7 linked regions of the Macaca fascicularis genome follow. The protein of the gene in region 7 interacts with the protein of the main gene of each other region in a pairwise test. Links are inferred from orthologs where the notes say so. Each region holds a gene or a part of one and is shown on either strand. Other genes may lie near its edges.

The links.
Region 1: the proteins of KCTD9 (region 7) and SDCBP interact in binary tests that used the Homo sapiens proteins (3 or more experiments, as listed by UniProt). The two-hybrid records come from large-scale screens. The link is inferred for Macaca fascicularis from reciprocal best matches to the Homo sapiens genes KCTD9 and SDCBP.
Region 2: the proteins of KCTD9 (region 7) and LONRF1 interact in binary tests that used the Homo sapiens proteins (3 or more experiments, as listed by UniProt). The two-hybrid records come from large-scale screens. The link is inferred for Macaca fascicularis from reciprocal best matches to the Homo sapiens genes KCTD9 and LONRF1.
Region 3: the proteins of KCTD9 (region 7) and SYT6 interact in binary tests that used the Homo sapiens proteins (3 or more experiments, as listed by UniProt). The two-hybrid records come from large-scale screens. The link is inferred for Macaca fascicularis from reciprocal best matches to the Homo sapiens genes KCTD9 and SYT6.
Region 4: the proteins of KCTD9 (region 7) and NUP35 interact in binary tests that used the Homo sapiens proteins (3 or more experiments, as listed by UniProt). The two-hybrid records come from large-scale screens. The link is inferred for Macaca fascicularis from reciprocal best matches to the Homo sapiens genes KCTD9 and NUP35.
Region 5: the proteins of KCTD9 (region 7) and TRIM42 interact in binary tests that used the Homo sapiens proteins (3 or more experiments, as listed by UniProt). The two-hybrid records come from large-scale screens. The link is inferred for Macaca fascicularis from reciprocal best matches to the Homo sapiens genes KCTD9 and TRIM42.
Region 6: the proteins of KCTD9 (region 7) and EHHADH interact in binary tests that used the Homo sapiens proteins (3 or more experiments, as listed by UniProt). The two-hybrid records come from large-scale screens. The link is inferred for Macaca fascicularis from reciprocal best matches to the Homo sapiens genes KCTD9 and EHHADH.

What each region holds. Positions count from the first base shown.
Region 1 is NC_088382.1:68,553,354-68,556,853, reverse strand, and holds part of SDCBP (syntenin-1), read right to left. Parts: intron 1,034-3,500; coding exon 872-1,033; intron 1-871. UniProt on the Homo sapiens protein: Multifunctional adapter protein involved in diverse array of functions including trafficking of transmembrane proteins, neuro and immunomodulation, exosome biogenesis, and tumorigenesis.
Region 2 is NC_088382.1:12,685,945-12,690,137, forward strand, and holds the start of LONRF1 (LON peptidase N-terminal domain and RING finger protein 1), read right to left. Parts: upstream 2,801-4,193; 5' UTR 2,758-2,800; coding exon 2,037-2,757; intron 1-2,036.
Region 3 is NC_088375.1:120,219,533-120,223,032, reverse strand, and holds part of SYT6 (synaptotagmin-6), read right to left. Parts: intron 3,036-3,500; coding exon 2,687-3,035; intron 1,135-2,686; coding exon 576-1,134; intron 1-575.
Region 4 is NC_088386.1:78,717,134-78,720,021, reverse strand, and holds the end of NUP35 (nucleoporin NUP35), read right to left. Parts: intron 2,558-2,888; coding exon 2,393-2,557; intron 1,134-2,392; coding exon 1,056-1,133; 3' UTR 501-1,055; downstream 1-500. UniProt on the Homo sapiens protein: Functions as a component of the nuclear pore complex (NPC).
Region 5 is NC_088376.1:43,544,831-43,548,330, reverse strand, and holds part of TRIM42 (tripartite motif-containing protein 42), read right to left. Parts: coding exon 3,032-3,500; intron 648-3,031; coding exon 423-647; intron 1-422.
Region 6 is NC_088376.1:97,125,400-97,127,876, forward strand, and holds the end of EHHADH (peroxisomal bifunctional enzyme), read right to left. Parts: coding exon 1,816-2,477; 3' UTR 501-1,815; downstream 1-500. UniProt on the Homo sapiens protein: Peroxisomal trifunctional enzyme possessing 2-enoyl-CoA hydratase, 3-hydroxyacyl-CoA dehydrogenase, and delta 3, delta 2-enoyl-CoA isomerase activities. Catalyzes two of the four reactions of the long chain fatty acids peroxisomal beta-oxidation pathway.
Region 7 is NC_088382.1:28,648,388-28,652,514, forward strand, and holds the start of KCTD9 (BTB/POZ domain-containing protein KCTD9), read right to left. Parts: upstream 2,801-4,127; 5' UTR 2,597-2,800; coding exon 2,549-2,596; intron 1,903-2,548; coding exon of another isoform or gene 1,845-1,902; exon of another isoform or gene 1,647-1,844; intron 1-1,646. UniProt on the Homo sapiens protein: Substrate-specific adapter of a BCR (BTB-CUL3-RBX1) E3 ubiquitin-protein ligase complex, which mediates the ubiquitination of target proteins, leading to their degradation by the proteasome.

The sequences.
Region 1 (3,500 bases), about 40 Mb from region 7:
CTGGGTGGGCAGGCAGGGTTGGGGCTTCCTGCCAAGATCAGCCTCCTCCATTTACAGCAGTGCACCACACTTACCATTTTCTGTGTTGAAAGGCTGGATGCACTAAGCTACAGATGTATGACTGAAACTGAATCCAATAAGGTAATGGCTGAAACTGTAAATTGGGGTAAAGACTCAGCACGTCCTTAACAATTCTAAATGGTTCCTCAGAGAGTAACCCTGTTTCATATATTCAGTATATTAAGGTGAGAGGTAATTATAAAGTAATGGCTGCCCTAATTAGAAAGAAACTTTTACTCAAAAAACTCAAAAAATGACCTATTAAATTCAAATATGAAGGATGTTAATAACAAATCTGCAAAAACCACCTCACAAGTTAAATACCGATCATTTGGTTTAAAAATGCGCACACACCTGGGAGACGGAAGTTGCAGTGAGTCAAGATCGCGCCACTGCACTGCAGCCTGGCGACAGTGCGAGACTGTGTCTCAAAAAAAAAAAAAAAAAAAAAAGGCACACCGACATTGACTATTATTGGTCAGTTTTTTCTTAACCTTCACATCTGCTCTATTTAATTGCCACAATTCTATTATACAAAGTACATTATAATATACGTAGGCCAGTGAAATGTATTCCAGTTAGAATATTCAGAAAAGAAAAACATCTTTCAAAGTAATGTGGTTGGAAGTCCCAGCTATGCCTCTGCAAAATAGAACGTCCCCAACTGAACAAATTTAAGTTAGTAGATTTAAAATATTCTCAACAACAGATGCACTATTATAATTAAAGCATTTCCATTTCAAATTATTTTAACGTTAATCAATTATGTAAGATATTTAGACAAATTCAAATAGGTATTTAAAATACTTACATTATCTATTGATTTAAGCCTGAGTCCAATTTTTCCATCTTGATCCTTACACAAAATGACTTCACGAATCCCTTGCTTAATTTCTGCTCTACGAATTCCAACATCATTACCAGTTACAGGAGCCACCATATAGTTCACACTGGAAGGTCTTGCTACCAACTGCTGACAAAACCGTATACAATGTGTCAATATTTAGAAACACTCCTTGAAAAGAACAATGATAATTAACTGGGCAATCCACAAATAATTTCCTTCAGATAAAGTTTGATGTCTATGAAAATGGCACTGGCTCTATTACTAATTCTTCACTAACTTATTCCCACACATATCATCTCTAACAGATTCAATGACTCTCTCTTGTCCTTTGAATTCACTGGCATTTGTTTCACCAGTATATTGGCTTGTCTTCATCTCAAATGTATTATCTTTGAACTTAAAGGCCATATACTTTTGAAATATTTTCCAGACGGTTCTTTATGTCACAATCTTTGACAATCTGCTTATCCTTTCAGAATTTCCAAACAAGAGGCAAACTTCTTACCTCAGTGTTACTGGGAGGATTAAATGAAAAGTGCATGGGCACTGGCACACAAAAGAGAGTCAACTATTATGTCTCCTCCCCTCTAATAACCATCTATTATTATGATTAACAAATCATATGCACGAACCAGAATGCTCCAGATTACCTACATTAGGGACCTGTGTCAGGTACCATGTTACAAGTTTCTAATTTTTCAAGTTTTCCTAACCAAAACTGGTGTCTTATTTTAAGTGGAACCTTTCCCCAACCAAAAAGGAAATGGAACAATATTAGGCCATTAAAAAGAGGAAATCCTCCCATTTGGACAACATGAATAAACATAGAGAATATTATTCCAAGTGAAATAAGCCAGACACAGAAAGACAAGTACCGTCTGGGTCTCACTTATACGTGGAATCTGAAAAGAGTCAAACTCACAGAAGTAGAGACTAGAAGGGAGGTTGTCAGGGGCTGGGGATGGGCAGGGCAAAGAATGAGAAAATGTTGGTCAAAGTGTACAAATTTTCAGTTATGAGTACGTTCTACAGATCTAATGTACAGCATAGTAACTATAGTTAATAATACTGTACTGTATACTTGAAATTTGCTAAGAGTACATCTTAAGTGTTCTCACCACACACCAAAAGAAATATAACTATGTGAGGTGACAGATATGTTAATAACCTTGACTGTGGTAATCATTTCACAATGTGTGTGTTTGTGTGTGTTTGTTTATCAATACATCAAGTTGTATTGAGATATACAGTTGAATATAAACAATTTTTATTTGTTAATTATACCTCAATAAATAGCTGGGGAGAGGAAGATCCGGATGGAACATCAAGAGAAGAAAAATAAAATATATGAAATGAAAAATTCACTAGATATGAAGAGTTAACAGAAATCTCCGGCAACAAATTAATTTAAAATAAAACAGAAGAAAAAGAAAAGGTGGCGCACTGAAGAACCCTGGATATGCAGACACAAAAAATGAAGGTTTAGGTCACCCTTCTAGGTATTAACTTTTTTTAAAAAAAGACCAGCTGAAGTATTGCCCAAGGGCAAAGGGATCTAAGCATCCATTTAATGAACAAAGGAAGTTCTAAATTTTAACTACAGCCTCATGATCAGTTACTAAAATAAGAATCAGAGCAGCTATGACTCTCTTCTTTGTATTTGTATATTTCCTGTAAATACAGCAATTAATCTTTCTGTTCCTCTATACCTCCTTTTACCTTTATGTATGAATTGCTAGTAGTGGTTAACTTTACACTTTTGCCTTTAAATTAAAAATATTCTGTTGTGAATGTGAATACTTATAAGGGTAATTAATATCATATAGTAATCAATACCATGACCACTGCCCAGAGATGGCCACATTAACTGGTATCATCCCTTTCTAGAGAAAGGGTGAGAGCAACTTCATTTATATCGAGGGGTACATGGCTTCATTTCGTACACCCCTGAGTTAAAAATGATTTTTATATTTTTAAAGATTATAAACAAAAAAACAACAAGAATATGTGATAAAGATCATAAGTGACCATGAAAGCCTAAGGTATTTATTATGAAGCCCTTTATAAAGTTTGCTGAACTCTGATTTTATGAAGAAGTTCATCTTTTAAGGAGAAAGTATAAAGTTGTTGTTGTTGTCAAATGAAATTCAAGTATCTGTACAAGTGTGTGGATATACTAGTAGTCAAAGGAGTAGGTGGTAACAGATATTAAGCTACTATTTGTCAGCTCCAAATCCACCCTTCTAGACTCTACTTGGTGATGCTGGGCCTAACTGTGCAAATTATAATTTTGTTTGTCAGTGACTGGAGTGACAAGCACCTCGTTCCTTCCTTTGTGCTTCCTGCTCCTGTCAGTACTGTGTAAGCCTGGCCCTTTACCCTGGCAGTAGCAGTTGGTTCCAGTCTGCAGCTTTTACTGACACTCCCAGAACCAGCCTCATTACAACCCCTCAGAGGCACCAGTAGTGTCCCCTCATTCGAGGTCTGAGTCCCAGCTCTGCGGGGCTCTTCCCTCAAGGTTCTAGGTTCTGCTAACTCCAGTCTCTCCCCTGTGTCATCCCAGTCCTAGGAGAAGCAACTAGCTATCTGCAAT
Region 2 (4,193 bases), about 16 Mb from region 7:
GTCACAAAATGTTAAGCTAGACCTCAATTAGCAAATGTGTTCACTGTTCTTCCATGGCCCAGGACCTGGATTCTTGTGAAACACCTAATTTAAGGTCGAATCACTGTATCAGTAGTACTGTCCATAAGTTTCAGCCTCAGTGACCAAAAAAACTTCTTTGGATATGTATAATAAACATTTTCATCAGATAAGCTATAAGGCAGGATGAACCCTAGACCAACGTTTAGGAGAAGTGGAAGATACAGCGCTGCCTCTCAACCAGTTAACACTGTGACTGTGCGCAAGTCTTCACTGCCTGGCATCTGCTTCTTTGCTTTAAAAATCATACCATGGTCAGTTACTAGATGGTCTGTACAGCGGAGTCCAGTTTCTCTTCTCTTTATTCACCCAGAGGGACAGAGTCATCCGTATCAGAATTCTGTATTCCAAACACTTTTCTTTTGTTCTGAGCCTATCTTTCTATTTTATAACTGCCTACTCCTCATAAAGGCACTGAAAGAATACAAAAATCTCCGGTGTTTGTGCTTCGAACTCTGAAGATATTAAACAATGCAAGATCTTGACGTAAGTTCAATATGACTAAGCACTTGGGACAAAAGATGACCCGAAAGATGATCCTTTCAGTTACACAGTCTATAAATTTACCTGTAATACCTAAAGTCAGCTGCTATTCTAGATGTCTATTTTCTTGGGGATTATTCCCCCAACTATCCCCCAACTATCATGCCATTCCCCCAGCTATCATGCCAATGGATAGACACTAAAATCTTGAAATACGCGTAACACAAGGTTTATCAACAGTGGCACTTGGGGCCTGATAATTCTTTGTTGTGGGAATCCTGCTGTGCCTCATAGGATGTCTGAGCAGCACCCCGGGCCTCTCCCACTAGATGTCGGTACCAGCACCACCCCCACAAGAGGTGGCAACCAAAAATGTCTCCAGATATTGCTCTAGATAATGTCCCCTGAGAGAGGGGAGGTAAATCCGGCTGGTAAAGAACTACTGATTTAAAGAACAACTCTTCCTTTTACATAAGAGAAGCTTGACACTGCCCCCTTTCAGCGCCTAAAACCACCTTAAGAAGAAAGTGCTAGCTAACCTAGGTTAGGAGGCCGAGGCTGCTTCCTGGAGACTAAGAAATGCACTCAAGACCTACAAGGCCTTTCCCCACAGCTTGATCCTAAGTGGAACGGCCAAGAGAAGCGTGGCAAAGAACTCTGGATCAGGAAGCCCCTCTCATCTTTACCATAAGCTAGGTGCACTGCAAAGTACATAGGAAATAAGCATGATCTGAAACAGGCCGGCTGAAACTTTCGAGAGAAACCAGTTCAGGCATTTCCAGGTAGCAAGGGACCACCCGGGGCAGCTCCGCCCCGCGCCCCAAGCCCGGCGGCCTGCGGGGCCTCCCGGGGCCGGGTGCCCGCCCGGAGCTCCCGCCACGCCCACCGGACGTCACCCGTTACACAACGACCCCCGCCCCCAGCTTATGCAATTCTGCCCTCCCGCGGCTCCCAATTGTCCCGGTGACTTTTGTGGGTGAGGAAGGGAGACGCCGCCTTCCCGGCCTAGTTGTCCTCGTGGGGGATTCTCTCCCCACCCCGGCAGTCGTTTCCCCGCGGCGGGCCTGGCGCGAGAGAGTCAATTCCCGGAAAGCGCGCGGCAGGAAGCGAGCGGCCGCTCGGGATAGCCCAGCTCCCACCCATCCCGCGCCGGGGCACCCACGGCTCCGGTCACCCACTCCGCGCCCGGAGCGCGCGCCCGACGGCCAGGCCGCGGCCGAGGGAACCCCGCGCCGAGCGCCCCTCCCCGCGCTGCGTCACAGTCGGCTCCCAGGGCGATCCCCATTGTGACCGAAGCACCCCGGGGCGCCGCCCCCTCCCACACCCCCCAGCACCCCGAGACCCAACACGCCAGTGGCCCAGCGGCCCCGGGGAAGCAGAGGAGACTCCCGGGACGCAGACAAGCTCCGGGTCCCCGGCCCTCGGGGCCAGGAGGGTGCGGTCGGCCCGGCCCCGCCGCATCCCCGCGCGGTCACCTGCTCGCAGCGCCTCGCAGGCGGCGGCCAGGGCCTCCCGGTAGCGCCCCTGGTGTAGCAGCTCCCCGAGTCTGCCAGCCGCCCGGGCCCGCTCGCGCTGGCCCGGGAACCACTTCTCGGCCAGGTGGTTGAGGACGACGCTGGTTCTGAAGTCTGAGGCGGCGATGGCGGCTGCCAGAGGCGGCGGCCGCGGGGCGGTCCCTTCAGCATCAGTGGCACTGGCGGTGGCGGGCGGCAGCCGGTCCCGGCAGAGGCGGCAGCGGGCGCGGAGTTCCCTCCGCAGGCAGCGGCGGCAGTAGCTGTGGCCACAGGGCACGGTCACCGGCTCGCTCAGGAAGCCCCGGCAGCCCAGGCATCTGAGGAGCCCGCAGGCGCCGCCGTCCGCGCCCGCAGCCGGGGCCGCGCTCCAGCTCAGCCCGTGGCGGAGCCGGTAGTTGAACACCAGGCAGTCCACCAGGGCGCCCAGGCACTCGGGCCTGGCCGGGGCCCCGCGGCGCAGCGCCGCCGCGAACGCCTCCAGCGCGCCCTTCAGGTGGCCGCCCAGCGCCAGCAGCTCCCCGCGGCGGAGCAGCAGTTCCCAGCGCTCCGACTCCGCGGCCGCGCGCTCCAGCCGAAGGCCGCTGCCGCCGCCCACTTCCCAGAACCGGCCTCGGCCCTGCGGCGCCGGGGCCATCTCCCGACTCCCTCCCGGGGAACTCCTCGCCACCGCCGGAGAGGACATGGCCCGCGGAGGGCTGCGCTGCCGCCGCCCGCCGCCACGGTCCGGGAGCCTCCCGGGCGCGCGGCTCCGCACGCGGCCCGCGAGCAGGGGGGCGTGGCGCGCGGACACGGCGGGGCGGCGCGCGCCCGGGAAGCCCCGAGGGCGGGGCCTGGCGAGGGCGGGGCCGGGCTCGGCGACGGCGCCGGGACTCCCCCACGCAGCCCGCGGCCGCGCTCGCGAGGAGCCAAGCGCTGGGCCCCGCCCCTCCCGAGCCCCCTCCCGGCGGGGGCGCAGGTCGGATGATTCCTCCGTCGGAGATCTAATTGGCTTCTCCGGAAAGGAGGGCTCGGCTCGTGACGGAACAAAGCCCGATGGAGCCCAGAGTCTCCGTCCCCGCTTGCCTGCTCGCCGACGCCCCCACCTGCGGTGGCCCGCGCCCTTGCCGCGCGGGACTCAGGGTCACCACCCCTCCCCCGACGCCCCCGCCCAAGCCGGACCTGCCCCAACTCCTGGCGGGCGGGGGTCTCCCGGCGTGTCCTCACGCTTGTGCGGGTCTGCATTTTCATTCCTCTATGCCCAGGTTCCAGGTGGGCGCTCCCAAGCAGGGGGCCTGGGAGGGCACCTTCGGCAGATGTCTGGGACTCTTCGGTTCTAGAGGACTCAACTTTAAACAGGAACACAAAACCCACGTTCCTGGGGCGACTCCCTCCAGAGGGCAAGGAGTTTTTCCTGGTGCCAGGTGACTGCTGCCCTTTGCTTAAAACTCATCGTAGGCCCACCTCGAGGGAGAAAGCCCACACAGTTCCTCAGGTGTCTCCACACCTCAGGCACTGCCTTACAGCTGGTTAAAGTCTATAGTTGGCATATTTAAAAGAAAACACCGAGAAAAATGTTTTTCACGTGGCGGTCACCGTATTACTACAACCCAAGCAGGGTCTGCAGTTTTGCCAACAGAAGAAAATGATGGGGTTGATATATAATAGGTGCTATTTCCCTTAAACTTCACAGCGGCAAGTTTAAAGCTCTCCGCTGAAAATATTTATAGATTTGATTATAGGGTATTAGATTGTTAATGTTAGGAGTCACTTAGAACTTTTAGTCCTTTTTCAAATGATGGGAAACAGAGGGAAAGTTATTTGTCAAAAATCACACAGCTAATATAGATTTTAAGATCACGTCTATTCCACTATTATGTTACTACGTTAGACTGATCGTATATAATATTTAATAAAATAATAGTAATATTTCATAGAAATAGATTGTCAAAGGAAGTTGCTAATTGGAAAGTTCACGTGAGCATAGTATGTCTGAAAATGGTATACGTTTAATATTTCTCTTTATAAGGAACGGCAATTAAGGCTAAAAAATGTTTTGAGTTAATGTGTTTTCACTACACAATGAGCAAGTCGTGTAACGTCAGAAAAGATAGAGATATATTACCCTAAAGGGAATGAATA
Region 3 (3,500 bases), on a different chromosome or scaffold from region 7:
TTTAATAAACAGTGCATGATTTGCCACTTCCTCTTCCTCCTGATGTTTAACTGTGGGGGCCCGTGTCTAAATGCAGCGTCTGTTGGCTTGGGTCCCCAGGTAACAAGGTGGAGTAGAGTCCCCAGCCCAGATGCAAAGCACACAAAACATGAACAAGGCATAAACTTTGGTTGTCTAAAGCCACAAAATCCTCAGATCGTTTGCTGCTGCAGCATAGCCTGGTTCAGCCTAATTGATATGGCCTGTTTCGATTGCCTATGCCAGGTTTCTGTATCTATATCAGTACTCTCTATATCAGTACTCTCAGTAGAAAGAACCATCCCAGAACATGCAACCAGAAGCCACAGATAAAAAATCCCTCCCCTTCCTAGCTACATGGGGACTCTGCTGTCTGCCATTCCAACCTGGGGCAGAGTGCAAGGGTAGGCTGGGCCACTGGGCAGTTTCCAGAGTCCCTCTTCCTATCCCAAAAGGAAAAGGCCCATTTGTCTCTAGGAAATGAGGGGTTGGGGACATGTCCAACCCAACCCAGAACCACAAATCCTCAAAAAGCCAAGGAACAGGGCTGTACTCACACTTGTGGCATATTGGATGTCCTTCCAGATGGAGGTTTCCCGAGACAGATCAGAGGCCTCAAAGAGGTTGTCCATGATGACCTCACCAATCATGTCATGGCGGGAGAAGCGGTCGAAGTCGAAGACGCTGAGATGCAGCTTGCGATCAGCCAGCTCCTCATAGGGCACAGGGAAGTGGAAGTTCTCATCAAAGGTGGGGTTCAGGGTCTTGCGGTGCACCCGGGTCTGCAGCTTGCATTTGCGGTCAGGCAGGAGGTAGATCTTGACATAAGGGTCAGAGCTTCCACAAAAGTCCTTGGCAGGGAGGTCAAAAGCCTTCAGGATACGCACAATCAGGGTCTCCGTCTCGTAATCATAACGTAGGCTGAAGTTGATCTTCCCGCAGCTTTTGGTGGCCTCAGACTTGGCATCGTCCCCATCCACCGACTTCTGCTTGTAGAGCTCAGGCTTGATGCGGCCAATGCTGGTGGGCTGCTCTGCTGCTGGTGGAAGCTCGTTGCCATAGTCTACACTGGAGACGTGCATCTGCCTTGGCAGGTGGCGCTTGAAGGACGTGTGCCTGGTAGAGGGCAGGAGGGGGCAGAGGGAGTGTGGTCAGGGCTCAGGGGAAGGGGGATGAAGGCAGACACGAGCCTGGAAGCCCTGGCTCATTGTATCCCTTGTTGAGCCCCCTCTTCCTTCCTCTTCTTGACCCCACTTTTCCTCTGCACACACTTGGTGTACAAGGTTGTGGTGAGCATTACATGTCTTAATATATGTAAAGTAGTTGGAATGGCGCCTGATATATAGTAAGCTCAATAAATGTTAGCCATTGCTATCATAATCACTTTTTCCTGCTTTTCTGTTACCTGCTTTTTAGGTTTACTTCCTAGTAGACAAAACTCTGGTTTCCTTATTAAATCATGAGATCCCTTAAGAGAAGGACCATCCCTTCTTATCATCAGTGTGGCACCCCCTTCATCACCGTCATCAGCATCTCCATTTGTTGGGCATTTGCTATACAGCAGGCAGCGGAGTGGTAAAAGCATGGGCTTTGGAGTTAGACTGCATAGGTCAGTCTTGGCTCTGTCACTTTCCAGTTGAGATCTTGGGAAAGTTATTTAACCTCTCTGTGCCATAAAAACGAGGATAATAAAAGTAACAACCACATAGGATTGCTGTGAGAGTAAAATGAATTGATTACATATGAAGTGCTTAGAACAGAGCCAAGCATAATCATAAGCAATATATGTGTTAGCTCTCCTTATCGATTACATTCATTCTTCCATTGGCTCCTCACAACTGCCATATAAGTCATCAGCCTTATTTTACAGTTGGAAAAAGCGAGGCTAAGGGAAGGTGAGGAACTTGCCCAAGGCCATATGACAAACTGTCAGTGTGACCCCTAGCATGTTCATTCCTGGCCTCCAGTCTGAAGATCAGGACTCATTCTCTTTGGTTGGTCCCCTGAGGGCCTGGAGAGCCATTGCAGGGACCTAGGAATCCATCAGAGCCCTAAGTTTTGAGTAAATACAATGCCTTACACATGCTTGCGCCACATCTTTTAAAAGTATTTCTGAATTTGGGGTAGGTTTTTGTCGTTACGTTTTTCTTGTTGCTATTTTCAGTTAAAGGATGCTGTATGTATTTACAATTGTTGTCATACAGGGAACTCTGAAAGGCTTTAAAGGAATCCTCATTCTCAAACTATTAAGACTCTCTTGCCTTATCTGCCACGCACTGCAGACTGTAGCTATCGGGCTTTACAGACATATCCCTAAACACACCATGAACTCTTACCTCTCCAGGCCTTTGCCGTTCTCTTCCTTCTGCCTGAAGCCTTTCCTTCCAAACATCCGACACTCCCCAATTCCACTATTCCATTCCCCTCATATCCACACATACCCCAAGTGCACACCACATGTACAGCAACCAGCCTCAAAGGTTTCCCTTTCGTGAAGTCTTTCCTCCTCGTTGATCACCCATCATGGATCACATCTTCTGACATATTTCTCCATCAAAGGATATGTGTTATTATTTCTGATCTCTGATCCTCACAGGCTGGAATCCCATAGATGTATTAAGGGAGTGTGGAGGTGTGGGATCAGGGAAGGGAGCGGTCCACTCCTCACCTGGTGGATGAGGCTGGCTCTGTAGTTTGCCGCTGCAGCCGCGTGTGACGCATGATGTGCTCCTTGACCGACATCTGCACCTCAGCTGGGATATCTGGGGATGTGTGGCTGATCTTCACGGCCGCCTCCAGGAAGCCCAGGGTGCTGGGGTCCTTCAGCTTGTCCGCCATGTTGCCTCTGAAGCTGGGGCTCTGGAGGGCTTCCAAGGGGGGATTAGCAGAAGAGGGACTGGAGGCCTCCTTGTTCCTCCAGGGCATCCAGCACAGCTTCCAAAAGAGAAAGAGAAAAACTGCCACCAGGGCCACGCCACACACAATAACTACAACTGCGAGGAGGCTGACAGAGGTGCCTGCCCTCGGCATGAGCCAGGCAGGGAGGGACAGACAGACAGAGGCGGGGAGAAGCGGGTGAGGGTGTTGGAGGAGGGGGCACACAGAAGGGACAAAGACGGAAGAAGAGAGAAGAATGGTCATGAGAAAGCTGCCAGGTCAGAGGGAGAGGTGGTTTCAGGGTTGACTCTTGATTGTCCACTTCGTGGAATATCTGCAGCCTTGTGTTCACCTCAATCTGATTCTTCCAGCATCATCCTCTTTCCCGCCCCCACCCCCTCCCCCCAGCCAGCTTGGGGAGCACCTGGGCTGTCTTCTCTACTGCCTATTGGCGTGTGCACAGGGAAAGGAAAGTAATTTAAATAGTAGCCTAAGCAAATGTGCAAATTCGTGAAGCATGCATGTTCAGACGCTGTTTGAATTTCTATTAAAGCTGCTACTATGGCCAGACTTACGAGTCATTTTTGTCTACAGCCTACTTCCTT
Region 4 (2,888 bases), on a different chromosome or scaffold from region 7:
TATGGCAAAATTTAATGGTAATTAAAGCTGGTATATAGTGGTTCATAACATATTTTCTCTTTCAAAAAGTACTTAAAGCTTTTTATAATAAACTGCCCTTTCAAAAAATGTTCAATACATATTGATATCATTTGGATATCCGTCCCCACCAAATCTCATGTTGAAATATGATCCCCGATGTTGGAAGTGGGGACTAGAGTGAGATGTTTAGATCATGGGGGCAGATGCCTCATGAATGGCGTGCTGCCCTCCCTGCAGTAATGAGTTCATGTGTGATCTGGTTATTGAAAAGTGTCTAGAACCTCCTTCTTCCTGCTCTCTTCCTCTCTTTCACCATGTGATATGCTCACTGTCCTTCAGTTTCCTCCATGAGTAAAGCATCACGCTTCTTGTACAGCTACAAGTCAAATAAACCCTGAGCCAAATAAACCTCTTTTATTTTTAATAAATTACCCAGCCTCAGGTATTCCTTTATAGCAATGCAAACAGACGAATACACATATCATTGACAAGGTTTATTATCAAGAAACTTTAGTAGTAAGTTTTTAAAAAGAATGCTCGTTTTAGAATACATCAAGAGGACATTCTGTGACAGGACATATACAAACAAGGATAATTAAAATATTAAATACTATCTAAATTAAAAGACCATAATTCAAATTGCTAATTATAATCTTTGTGTCAGTAGAAATAACTACAGTTCCCCTTCATGAAATTCACCCCCACGTTCTCATGAAGACTAAGAAGTCTCACCACAATTTCAGTTATTTAATTTACAATAATCAATGCTGAGTTTTCGGTGCTGAAGCATGCACTGTTACAGAAAGCACAAAATCCTATTCACAGGGATTTTTAGTTTTCTTTAAAATGTATCTCAAGCATCTTTTAAAGTGCGAGCTACAAAAAGGCTGTATCCTTAATGAAAAAGGCTTCTTTCTAAAAGAAGTATGAGACAGCTATCCAATATTGCAGGAACGGTTATATAACTAACCGAAGGAACCAGCAGCACTCTGCTAACTCGGTTTTAGTGTAGCAACCTCCTCCTTGGTCTTCTACTACCAGCCAAACATGTACTCCATTGCTTTGGATACAAGACTTTCATCTTTTTTTGGCGTTTGTCTGTCAGAAATAACCTATTAAAAACACACACACACACAAAGCTGTTAGGTTATTGTTACTTCAGTGTCATAGTCAATTCTAGAATTGCTCATTTAAAAGAGAAACACCAAAATGCATGTATAGCACTGAATTGTATATTTTTAAAATTAATATATGGACTTAGAATATCCTTATGCTTTTAAGAATGCCAAAATTTCATTTCTTTGGAAAAGCAAATAATATCTGTTTCTTAAATTAGAAAATTTAATAGCTGTGTGCAGTGGCTCATGTCTGTAATCCCAGCACTTTGGGAGGTCAAGGTGGGCAGATCACTCGAGGTCAGGAGTTCAAGACCACTATGGCCAACATGGCCCCATCTCTACTAAAAATACAAAAAATTAGCTGGGCGTAGTGGCACGTGCCTGTAATCTACTCAGGAGGCTGAGGTAGAAGAATCAACTGAACCCAGGAGGCAGAGGTTGCAGTGAGCTGGGATCGCACCACTGCACTCCAGCCTGGGCAACAGAGTGAGATTCCATCTCAAAACAAAAGAAAGAAAACTAAATAAAACAAAAGCTGCAAAAAATGGGAAATTTAAAATAACAGTAACAGAAACTAAAGAAACAGTTCTAGAATGATCTCCAAATTTCAGAGGAAGTCAAAAAACTGAACTACCACTATCTGCCCTACTAAAGCACAAGTGTTTCATGTACTGTGTTTGCAGGACCTGTTTCTGCAGCTGGTTAAGTTCAAACACTTGGCTACTCAGTAGGAGACAATAATATACTGAATGAGGTCATAATACTTCTACCATTCTTCGAAGAACATAATTAACTTCTTTAAGCTTTTTTGAAATGAGAAATTTTTTTCTGTCTGAATGGGAGTTGGTCAATGTCTTCATTTCAATAACCAAAGCTACTCCAACCTAAGGTTCTGCACTTTGGATACCATCAATTTAGTCACCAATTTAATAGTGCTTTAATGCGCCCTCATGTCAAAGATGTACATGGGATACATTTTGTATGTATGCAAATATAACTTAGAAAAAGCTAAAACAACTCTCAAAAAATTTTAAGGAATGGCAAATAAATTGTTCTTTAATTCATGATAACTTTCCAATTGGCCAAGATGCTAACTTTAAAAAAGAAAATTTTTAAAGTGTAAAGGTTTCATCAAGGTAATAGCCTCATCAAGAAACATTTAATAGCATACAAATCAACACAATGAAAAAGTTAAGCATGCTATGCACTCAGCCGCTAAGGTACATCTTTTTTTTATCTAATCCTTAAAATACCTGATAATCACTAGTAGAGGCTTTGTATGCTGTAGCAAGAGGTCTCATGGTAGAAATCCTAGGAGTACTTCCAGGTTGTGTTGGTGTACCTAGAGTTTTGATTGGTGGTGTAAAGGCTAAAGATGGAGATGATAAAGCACATCTGTCACTGCTTTCCATAACACTCTAGAGAAACAAAGAAACAACTCCTTTGTTTATAAAAGTAATACATATCATCCAGTATTACAGTCTACTTAGAAAGAAAATTTAATTAAAAGATAAGGATGAAATACTTTATTTGCTCTAATTAAACTTCCAAATAATTTTAAGCTTGAGAAAACATTTGCTCCTTAGGTAGCATGAGATTGAATGCTCAGCCAGAAATCTCACTTCAGTGACCTCAAACAATCTCAATACAACTATAGACCACAAAAATAAGAATTTCCTAAAACACTATGAAAAATCATCAAGGACAAAAAAAGTTCTTAGGGAAACCTGGAAAAGAATCAAAATCCAA
Region 5 (3,500 bases), on a different chromosome or scaffold from region 7:
TTAATTGGGCATCCTATATTTTTATTTGTTAAATCTGGCACCCCATCCTTGCCTGAGAATAGCACCTCATTTTTATCTTTCTCATACCACAATCATTTCATATCCTTCTCACACAACACTTATTTTTTTATGGACCCTGAGCACCTTGAAGGCAGGGATTATGTTTATTTTCCTCTGAATCTCTACATCTCTACACAATGCCTAGAACAAATGTTTTTGAATCAAATAGAACAATTCTCAGGCTTCATCTGCGAAGTCTGGTTGAGGCCAGCAGCCCTCTCTTTGGCCTCAAGTTAACAAATGTTCTGTGCTTAGAGGAAGAGTCCCATGGTGAGCTCTATAATCTCATGATCATCTTAACAGGGTCTCATCCAGAACCTATCATAGAAAAAAAAAAATCGGAGAAATAATGTACACAGTACCTTGCAGATATCACTCCATTGCCCAGGACCATTATCATTGATGGCTCTAACTTTAAACACGTATTCTGTGTTGGGGGTCAGGTTGTGCAGCTCCAGATTCTGCTGCATTATGTCCCGAATTTGTCCGCAGAGCTCCATTTGTACGTTGTTAGGAGGGGAAGTAATGACTTCATAGAATTCCATCTCAAAAGAGTCCACGTCTTCTGTTGGACATGTCCAGTAAACCTATGGAAGAAATGAACATACTGGTGTGGTACTAGTATACATCATTCAGTTTTCTTTCCATTAAAGATTTGTGATGTTGACTATCTGTGGGGTGAGTTTAAGCTGACCCTATCCCCTGTAGCTGCCGAAGACTTTTAATTAGACTATGCATAAGTCTTGAAAGGCTGTGTGATGAGGCCTGGCATGATGCTTGTGATGAGTTTCACAAACAGAAGGTTTGTGACTGTTACTGTCAGCCAACGTGGAGGTGACAATTGTCCTCCTGCTTGAAAAATACTGAAAAATAGAGGGGAAGAAAATAAACATCACTCGTAATCTCACAATTCAGTTAATTCATTATTATTTCTTTGCAATTTCAGAACACACACACACACAAACATATATGTATATAACTTGGATTATGTTGCTTTGATTTCTATTTTCTTTTACTTATGTTGTATGTTTTCCTAAATCATTAAAAATTCGGTAAACTACCATCTTTAAAATTTCTCCCGAAATAATTTAATCCTTCTATGGTTGAACATTTAGGTTGTTTCTAATTTTATACTCTAATAAATGCTGTAATAAATACTGTTGGGCATAAATATTTGTCTGAATTTTTAAGAATTTTCTTGGAAGAGATTCCTAGAACTAAAATTGAGTTTAAAAAATCTCTAGGATATTAACTGTACATATTGAAAAGTTACAACATTAAGTTTTAGAATATTTTCCATGCTAAAATCCTAAAGATTTGAGAGTGATGTTAACATAGACTTAATCTTCTGCATTGCTAAGCACTATGATTCCTGTATGAAGTCCATTCCATTATCCTAAAATATGAATCAATGATATTTTAAAATCGAATATCACTATCTGGAAATAGGTTTAGGTGTCCTCTTTTGACAGCAAATGACTTGACTGAGTTGTTTTGCATAGGTCCCTTTTTTGAGCTCATCAGGGGTGACTAATAGGTGGCATGGGGTGACTGTTTTCCATGCCCAGGTATAGAGCAGATACTACCAATTCTCTGGCTCCATAGCAAGAGCCTGCCAACTTCTCAAGAGGTCTGAGTTGGTCAGGAGATGAGACCCAGTGCTATCCCTGAGGTAATAAGCATACACTATAGGCCTTGCTGATCTAGTATCATTTGGAAATGTAGTTCAGCTGCTCAGTTATGGGCATTGCTTATGTGAAGGGCAGAAACACTTCATTATGTCAATAGCCCATGGAATGTTCTATCTTGCAAAGTATGGGTTGTTCTTTGTGTCAGTTATAGACAACAAAACATAGATTATGATGTGTCAGGAGAATGGAAAAGTAGAGCTTGGTCTGTGTCTGGCCTTCATTTTTTAGATCCTTAATAATAAAGTGTGGGCTGTAGACAGCAGCATTGGCAGCACCTGGAAGTTTGTGATAACCTGAATCTCAGGCCCCATTGAAACCTATTAAAATAGAATCTGCATTTTAACAAGATCCCCAGGTGCACATCGATGTTTGAGAACTGCTAGTTTAGAACTCAAGGATCTAAAAGTCTTTGGGAGTGTTCTCAGATTATGAGAGACAAAAGATGAACTCTGCCACGTGGGAGCAGGACATGGGCTGACTCTAGAAAAAAATCCAAGAGGAGGAAAGAGGAACTCAAATAGAATATTTCATTGCACGTTAATTTTTTTCCTCCATAAACCTTAATAAAGTGTTCTACAAACAATTCAATGTGGGTTCAACTAGATTTGAAAGGTATGTTAAAGAAAAGGTCATTTGTTCATGTTGTTCATGTTAGGTCAAGAGGGTCAAAGGGAAGTCATGTTCCTTGAAGCCAGGCAATGGCGCTTATAGAGATCTGTGAGAGACCCCACTCTTCACTCTCTGCCTTCAAGGCGGGTTGAATCTCAAAAGAGTTGAAATTTCATTGGGGATGATCCTCCCAATTTTTCCAAATCATAGAGAGTCTGGATATTTGCTTTAGGAAAGGTAGCAATTTAGAGGAAACAGCTGGTAGGTAATGGAGCCTGCATTTGTAACTCCAATTTCTGTGCTGTCTCTATTACAGGCTTTCCTTTGGGAAACATTACACTGCCAAGTAGTGTCTTCAAATTACTTTGGTTCCCAAATAGGGTTCTCTTTCAGTTGAGAAGTTGCCTTTGCAGTGGAGGTAGGGCTTTCAGATATATTTACGACTATAAGTTAAATATATTGACTGTTTGGTTTAAGCTAATCTTGGGTTACTTAAGATTCCCGGAACTTATCCCTTTTGAATGGGATGACCACAAAGAGTCTAGAGGAGCAGATTTGAGTGACCAGATCCTAGAGGTCAAAGAGATAAGTGCAACTTTTCCTGACTACTGACTTCTACTCTGTACCCCAAACCCTCCCACCTTCCCCACTGGGCCCAGAACTTTTCTTACCTTGGCAGCTCTTGGGTACACCAGAGTCTGGTAGATAACAATTGGGCCCGGGGTCTTCACAGAGCCATCGTTGAATGAGTACCAGTTGTGGAAGCTGCTGCTGTTCTGTACAGACTGGCTGTCTGCTCCAGCACACCAGTAGGTGTAGAGACCATCTGTGGGTTTGGCGGGGGTGGCTGACTGGGCTCTCCCACAGGCCTCCAGACCCACCTTGGCCTTCTCCTCAGTGTTGCTGAAGGATAAGATGGAGGAGCTTCGCTGGTATATCTGCTGGTTGCCGAGGCTGTGGGTGCTGAAAGTGACCTTCCTGGCAATCATTGTTTCTGAGTGCACAGGGTAGGGGGAGGGCAGTGAGTCCCCTGAGGAGCATACCTTCTTGGGCCCTGTGGGGAAGAGCTCATGGATGGCACTGGAAAGCTCAACAAAGTCCAAGGGCATGCAGTTTATTGAGTGTAGCCGGAGCTGTGGG
Region 6 (2,477 bases), on a different chromosome or scaffold from region 7:
TGTACTCAGATACATATACACAAACTTTATCATAACATTTCAGGGGTTATTGACTGATAAAATCTATTCATAGACGCTCTAATTTCAAAACCTCAATCTAGAGGCTAGTGTAGGGTGAAAATAAGTTGCAAGAACTCAAAATTAATTCCAGGATTGAAGAAAAAGTTAGTGGGTTTTTTTTTAACATTAATTTGAAAACAAGTCACTTTGGAGACAAAATTACTACTTTCAGGAATCATTTTCATTGATGTCTTTAATTTCACAAACCAAATTATATAAAATTAAGTAGTATATATTTCAAACGTAATAATTGTGCTCTGTACAATTCAAGGCACACTTGGATTTTTTGTTGGTTTTTTGTTTGCTCTTTAACAACGGAAAACTTATACTCTATTCATTCAAGATTTTTCCATCAGAACTTTCATTTTGTTTGGGTTCACAGGTGAAAATATTGTGAAAGTTCATTTCCACCACAATGAAGGATAACATCTTCAGCCCCATTTATTTACTAACAACTTTATTGAGATACAATTCACATACCATATAATTCACCCATTTAAAATATATAACTCAATAGTTTTTAATATATTGTTATGTGACCATTACCACAATAAGTTTAGACCATTTTCATGAACCATAGAGAAATCCTGTACCTATTAGATGAATCCTGTACTCCCCATCCATCATCCCTAATTCTAGCTTTAGGCAACCACTAATGTACAGGAAGTATTTTTTATAGAGACAGGGTTTTGCTATGTTGCCCAGGCTGGTCTCAAATTTCTGACCTCAAGCAATCCTCCTGCCTCAGCCTCCCAAAGTGCTGGGATTACAGGTGTGAGCCACTGTGCCTGGTCCTTTATTTCTTTTTATGACTGAATAATAGTCCATTGTATGGATATACCAGAGTTATCTATTCATTAGTTAATAGACATTTGGGTTGTATCCAACTTTTGGCCATTATGAATAATTCTGCTATAAATATTTGTGTACAAGTTTTTGTATTGACCAGCCCCTTAATTTTTGACTACACAACGCAAAAAGTAAAAAGAGAAGAACTCTTATAACAAAATTATACAAAATATGTTTTGCAACAATTTTAGATTTTTCAAGATTCAACCATTTCCATATGTAACATCACAGAGGCCTGTCATGACAGGGAAACTGGCGTCATTACTCTATCATAGAATTGGGAAATTCCAGAAGGTTAGATGTTCTCTAAGACCCTTCTTACACTAAGTTAACGACTTACTCCTTTCTATTATTTCTTCATAAACAGAAGAGGAAAGACCAGAAGAGGAAAGGCTTGCCATACTAATCTGAGTTCCCTGTGCTGGTTTGAAGTACTCAGTTCCCTTACCAATTTCCAACCATGTTTTTCCTACGACTTCAATGTTTGTTGAGTGTATGTATGATTCATAAGATTTCTGATCAATACTATGTGTGTGACATTGAAAGGAGTCAAAATCAATGTATGACTTAGCTGCATTTATCATTTATTAATTGATGACACATGTATCCAATAATCAAAACATTTGAGAATCTCAACTTATGCCTGAGCCTCTTTCATCAGCGATTATGATATTACATTCACACAAGTTCATGCATTGAATTTATCTGATAAGGACAGATTCAGAGGCATAGGAAGCACATTCCTAAAGATTTGACCATTAGAGTCGTCACACAGAAGACTCTACTGATTATTTCTTTTGCTTTGTATTTCAGAACAATCTTACTTTGGATTTTTGATTTAATTTCACTGAAATTCAGTGAGCATTACCTGATGCTAGCATGTGAGGCATAATCTGGAAGGCTGAATCACAAGTTACTGCTAGGGGAGCCTGCCAAGCTTTGCCATTCTTTCAGGGGAGGGTTTCCCTGAGAAGCCAGTTTTTTTAGATAGTCACTGGGCTCCAGTTGGGGAATATCAGGGTTCTGCCTGTAATATTTCTGCAACTTCTCTAGAACTGTGGGCAACCCAACTGTGGAAGCATAGAACATGGGTCCGCCCTTGTGCCTTGGCCATCCATATCCATGTAAATAGACAACATCAATGTGCTCTGGGCTAGTAGCTATACCTTCTCCCAAGATATGGAATGCTTCATTGATAAGTGAATATAAGCAGCGCTCAAGGATCTCATCCTGGCTAATGGTACGTGGTTCAATGTGATAGGTTTCTCTATACTGTGATAGGAATTTGGAAAGCCAGGGATCGGGTTTGTGAATCCTACCCAATGGCTTGTCATACTGATACCAACCCTTACCTGTCTTCTGGCCAAATCGTCCTAATTCACAGAGCATATCAGGAATTGGGCAGTATCTCCTATTGCCCCTTTTTCGGGCAGGAGTTCCTGGAGGCAATGTAGGTCCAGTAAGACCTTGCCCCTTTCTAGATTTCCAGCCCACATCCAACCCAGCAAGATCGGACACTCTAAAAGGTCCCATTTTAAAACCAAACTCTTCCAGCACCTGATCTACCT
Region 7 (4,127 bases):
TTTGGTGAGGGTTAATTTAGTTAAAACTAGATATAAATCTTAACGTGGCAGTTGTAAGCTTCCACAGCACAATGTCAATGACAACCAATCAGTGAAGAAGCCACTATTAATTAACCTTTTCACATGTGAAGGCCCTCCCTTCTTACAGGAGACCTGAGACCAGCTGACATGTTCAATGACTGGAGGCACCTGTGTCTTTCCAGATCCAAAAAATCACGTTTCCATATTATTTTATATTTTTAAGTGTAAGATACAAACAAAAGGTATATTTCTTCCTGACCTCCAATAAATCATCTTGGACACCGTCCGTGGTGTGCCATCTCACTCTGGAAACCACTGTTCAGAGAATGCATAGCCCTCTCTCCAACATCAAATACATTCACCACTAGTTACATTTATTCAATACACAGAAAATTCGTGGTGAGCATGTAACACAGCACCTTGGAAGAATTCTCTGCCTCTCCACACCTTTCCCTGGGCTTTATAGTCTCACAGTCTGGTAACCACTAAACAAGCTATAAGAGGGAAACTTATTTGAAAAAAAACAGATTATTCTTATAACCAGGAAATAAAAGCAGAAGCGAGGTAAAGGAGATAAAGTAAGTGGTACAGATATTCCAACTGGTGGATGGGAAATCAAATTCTGTTCTATTTGAGTAGCACTTTTCCCTAGCTTATTCTTAATGAACATTCATGTCATGATCATGCCAATCCAATTAGTCACTTTATATATAAAAATGCAAGCTGTTATGTATTATGTAGCTCTTTTGTCAAATAAGAGTAATTATAAAATTTTTTAATCAACTGAAAGGAGAGAAAGCACTGCCAACGTTATCTTAGAATATGTTCATCAGCTGAGCAGTGAAGATCACGGCTTTGTTTCTTTTTATCTAGTATTCTCCAGTTTGGATTTTTATGATCGTTGTAACATGAACATATTCATATTTAATTATTTGAGATGCATTTCCCCCAATCTTCTGAGATTCTCTAGCAGAATATTTTTAAAGTAAATAAAATTTAAATCCAAGAATGTAGTCAAAACTAGATAGTTTAAAAAAAATCCGTGTGAACAATATGGAAAGACCAACTCAGTTAATTTTTGACAACCAAATTGAGTGGATTCGGGAGAGATTTAGAGCAAAAATATTTATGACTAGGTCTAAATATTTGTCTTCCATGAGTAACATAGCAGAGATACTGCATTAAAAAGGTCAATCGGAAGTTTGTTTTTGAGAAATATTACCAATTTTGGATATACTCAATCTTTCTTAGAGTAACAACATACGTTTTAGATAACACCAGCTAACTACAGAACAGGTTTAGAAAAAGTTAATAGTGATGAGAAATGTAAACTTCGTGAGCATATTTTCGGGGTAGCATTCATGATAACTCGAGAACTCGAATTTATACCAATTCTGTTTTAAAATGAGTATTAAATCTCTAGGATCAGAAGAACACAAAATTATAGCCAACAAACCACACTCTGGTTCGAATTTTCAGGGCATGTTTACTCTACACTGAATAACGGGAAAGCCATTTTTAATGCCACTGGACAATTTCACTATTTAAAAATTTACAGTGTTTCCCGAATGTGCAGGCACCAGAGTATTTTGGCAACTAACACAGTGAAACCCATTTACCTTTACCTTAGACTCGTAAAGGCTGAGTTACTTCTGGGTGTCATTTAGCAACGCAGTAAATGTCTGCCTTGAACAGTCAAAATTTCCCAAAGTAGCAGAACAACTTTCATGGGTGGGGCAAAAGGCTGGGAAGGAAGAGAATTCATTTTGGCTTGCTCCAGCGCTGGAAGAACACTTAGCACCACACCCTCCGCAAAGGCCTACCTAACACAGCAAAGGCGACTGTCAAATCGATCCCTTTTGGGTCTGCTGTCCCCGTCCTCTAGGGAATCAAAATAAGGCAAAATAATAAAACGAGTACAGAGAAGTTTGGCGGCGTCGGGGAGTGGGGGCTTGAGGCATCTCAGAGAGAAGGGCAAAAATCAACAAGAAAATGCCCCCATTTTTAAAATCCTGTCTTCGACCTCGGATGGGAGATTTTGTTTATCCACGGGCAGTTTACTTCTGTCTCCCTGACCCAGCTCCACAGGCTCTGGTGCTCGCCGCCACTTTCCGAGCAGACCATTACTCAGCACGGGAGCCGGCGCGCCTCCTCCCGCAGGCGGGAGCGGGGTCTCGGGGACAGGCGGGAAGAGGCGCGACCGCCCGGGCGCCCAGGTGACCGCGGCCCTCTCCGCTCCCCAGTCCCCGCGCCCCCTGCACCGCGCATCCGGGAGCCCCGGAGCCCCCGGCCCGACCCGCGCCGGCCCCCAGGCAGCTGAGGCGCCGAAGGGCAGGCTCGGGGACAAGGGTCCTGAGGGTCGGGAGGAGGCCGCGGGGACCCTGTGCTGTCCCCGGGCGCCCCCAGCCCGCGCACGCCCACCTCCCAGCCCCTCTGCCCAACTTCACGGCTGCCCCGCCAGCCGGGTCCGCACCCTCCACCCTCGCCCCGACCCACGGCCCGCCGCGCCCACTCACGCCCCCGTTACCTTTCCGTTCTTAGGGCTGCCGTTCAGGAACAGGGTCACCCGCCTCATCGCGCTGCCCCCGCTGGGTCCTGAGTGAGCCGCCACCCTCCCACCTGGTCCTACTCCCACCTTTTTCTCCTCCCGCCCTTCCCCTCCCTCCACCCACTCGGATTCGCCTCCCTTCGCCACCTTCCTGCCCTTGGGGACACACCACACACACGCACTCTGTCCCACACCCAGGGCTCGGCCGGTCCTCCTTCCCACCCCGCCCCTAGGCTCCTCAGCCTGCCTGGGGCCCTTCCCCCACCTCTCCGAGACTGACATTCAGCCTACCAACCAACCTGCGTCACCGGCCAGGGTCCAGCCAATCAGCACCCAGTATCGGGCGGGCCCTGGCTAACCTAGCCGGGATGGAGGGAGGGAAGAGACGCTGAAGGCTAGTAGACGGGAAGGGGCATCAGCCAATCAGAGAGGCTCCTGGAGCCGGACGGCGACTTACAGCGTTACTGAGCAGGCGCACACTCAAGTCTAGGTAGCGCTCATCTGCATACGAGGGCGGGGTCTACGGAAAGGAGGTGGAGCGCTGAAAGGGACCCAAGCACCAGTCAGCCCCTCCTCCTGCGTTAGCCCCGCCCACAAGCCGGCCCAGCGAGGAAACGGCTGCGGTAGGGACGGAGTGATTGGGTAAGAGCCAGCTCTTCGCTCTGTTAGGATTGGTTGAATGAGTCTTTTCGAAGTTTGCAGCATCCAATAGAAAGGTGGGAGGCGGAGTTAAAGCGCTAACAGAAGCGTTACTCCGCGAGACTCTCCTGGAAAGTAGTCCCCGCGGTCACAGGTCAGTAGTAGGTGTCTGTGGTCGGCGGGTTGACTGCAGCTCGCGGTGGCCCCACTCCGAGCCCAGGAAGTCACTGGGAGGGCTCGGAGTGTGCGCAGACCAGAGAAAGGGGCGGTAGCGGAGTGATTCGTAGAGTAAGTTCGGCATCGAGGGGCGGGGCCGGGAATTTGAATCGGGCGGCGGGCGGAGGAGGCGGCCGGGCAGAGCGAAAGACAGGGACTGCGCGGGGTGTGAGTCCGAGTCGGCCTCAGGGACCCTGGACTCCTTGTTCGGAGAGCGGTTCCCGGCTACGGGTGCTTTGCCAGCAGAGCCCTTCCGGACAGAGGAGCCGGGGTCTGGAAGCAGCGACCTACGCGAAGCTCGCCTGCCTCGGGGCTCTGAGATTAAGCCTATCTGCCTGGCGGGCCTTCAGGTGCGGCGTGAGAGGTAGGATTGCAGCCACCCTGCCATGGGGCTGCTTCTCCGGGGCGTTTTTATGGCGTTTGTTCGGCTTACCCTGCAGCACAGAGTTAGTACTCCTCTCAGGAGCTGCTCTGGGTGACCAGGGGTGCATCCGGACCTGCTGAGACAATTTCTGGAAATGGACGGAGCTGCGTCTTGAGACGGGTACCCTTATGATTCAGGTCTTCACTTCGGTTGAAAAGCCATGGCTTATCCTTTGGGGTCTGCTTTGGTGCCTGAACAGCAGTTTCCTCCATTTCTTTCTGTTTAATTTGGCCTTAAAAGTACGCGCTTTGAGTAGAAGAATGGTTAGCACAGGCTGGG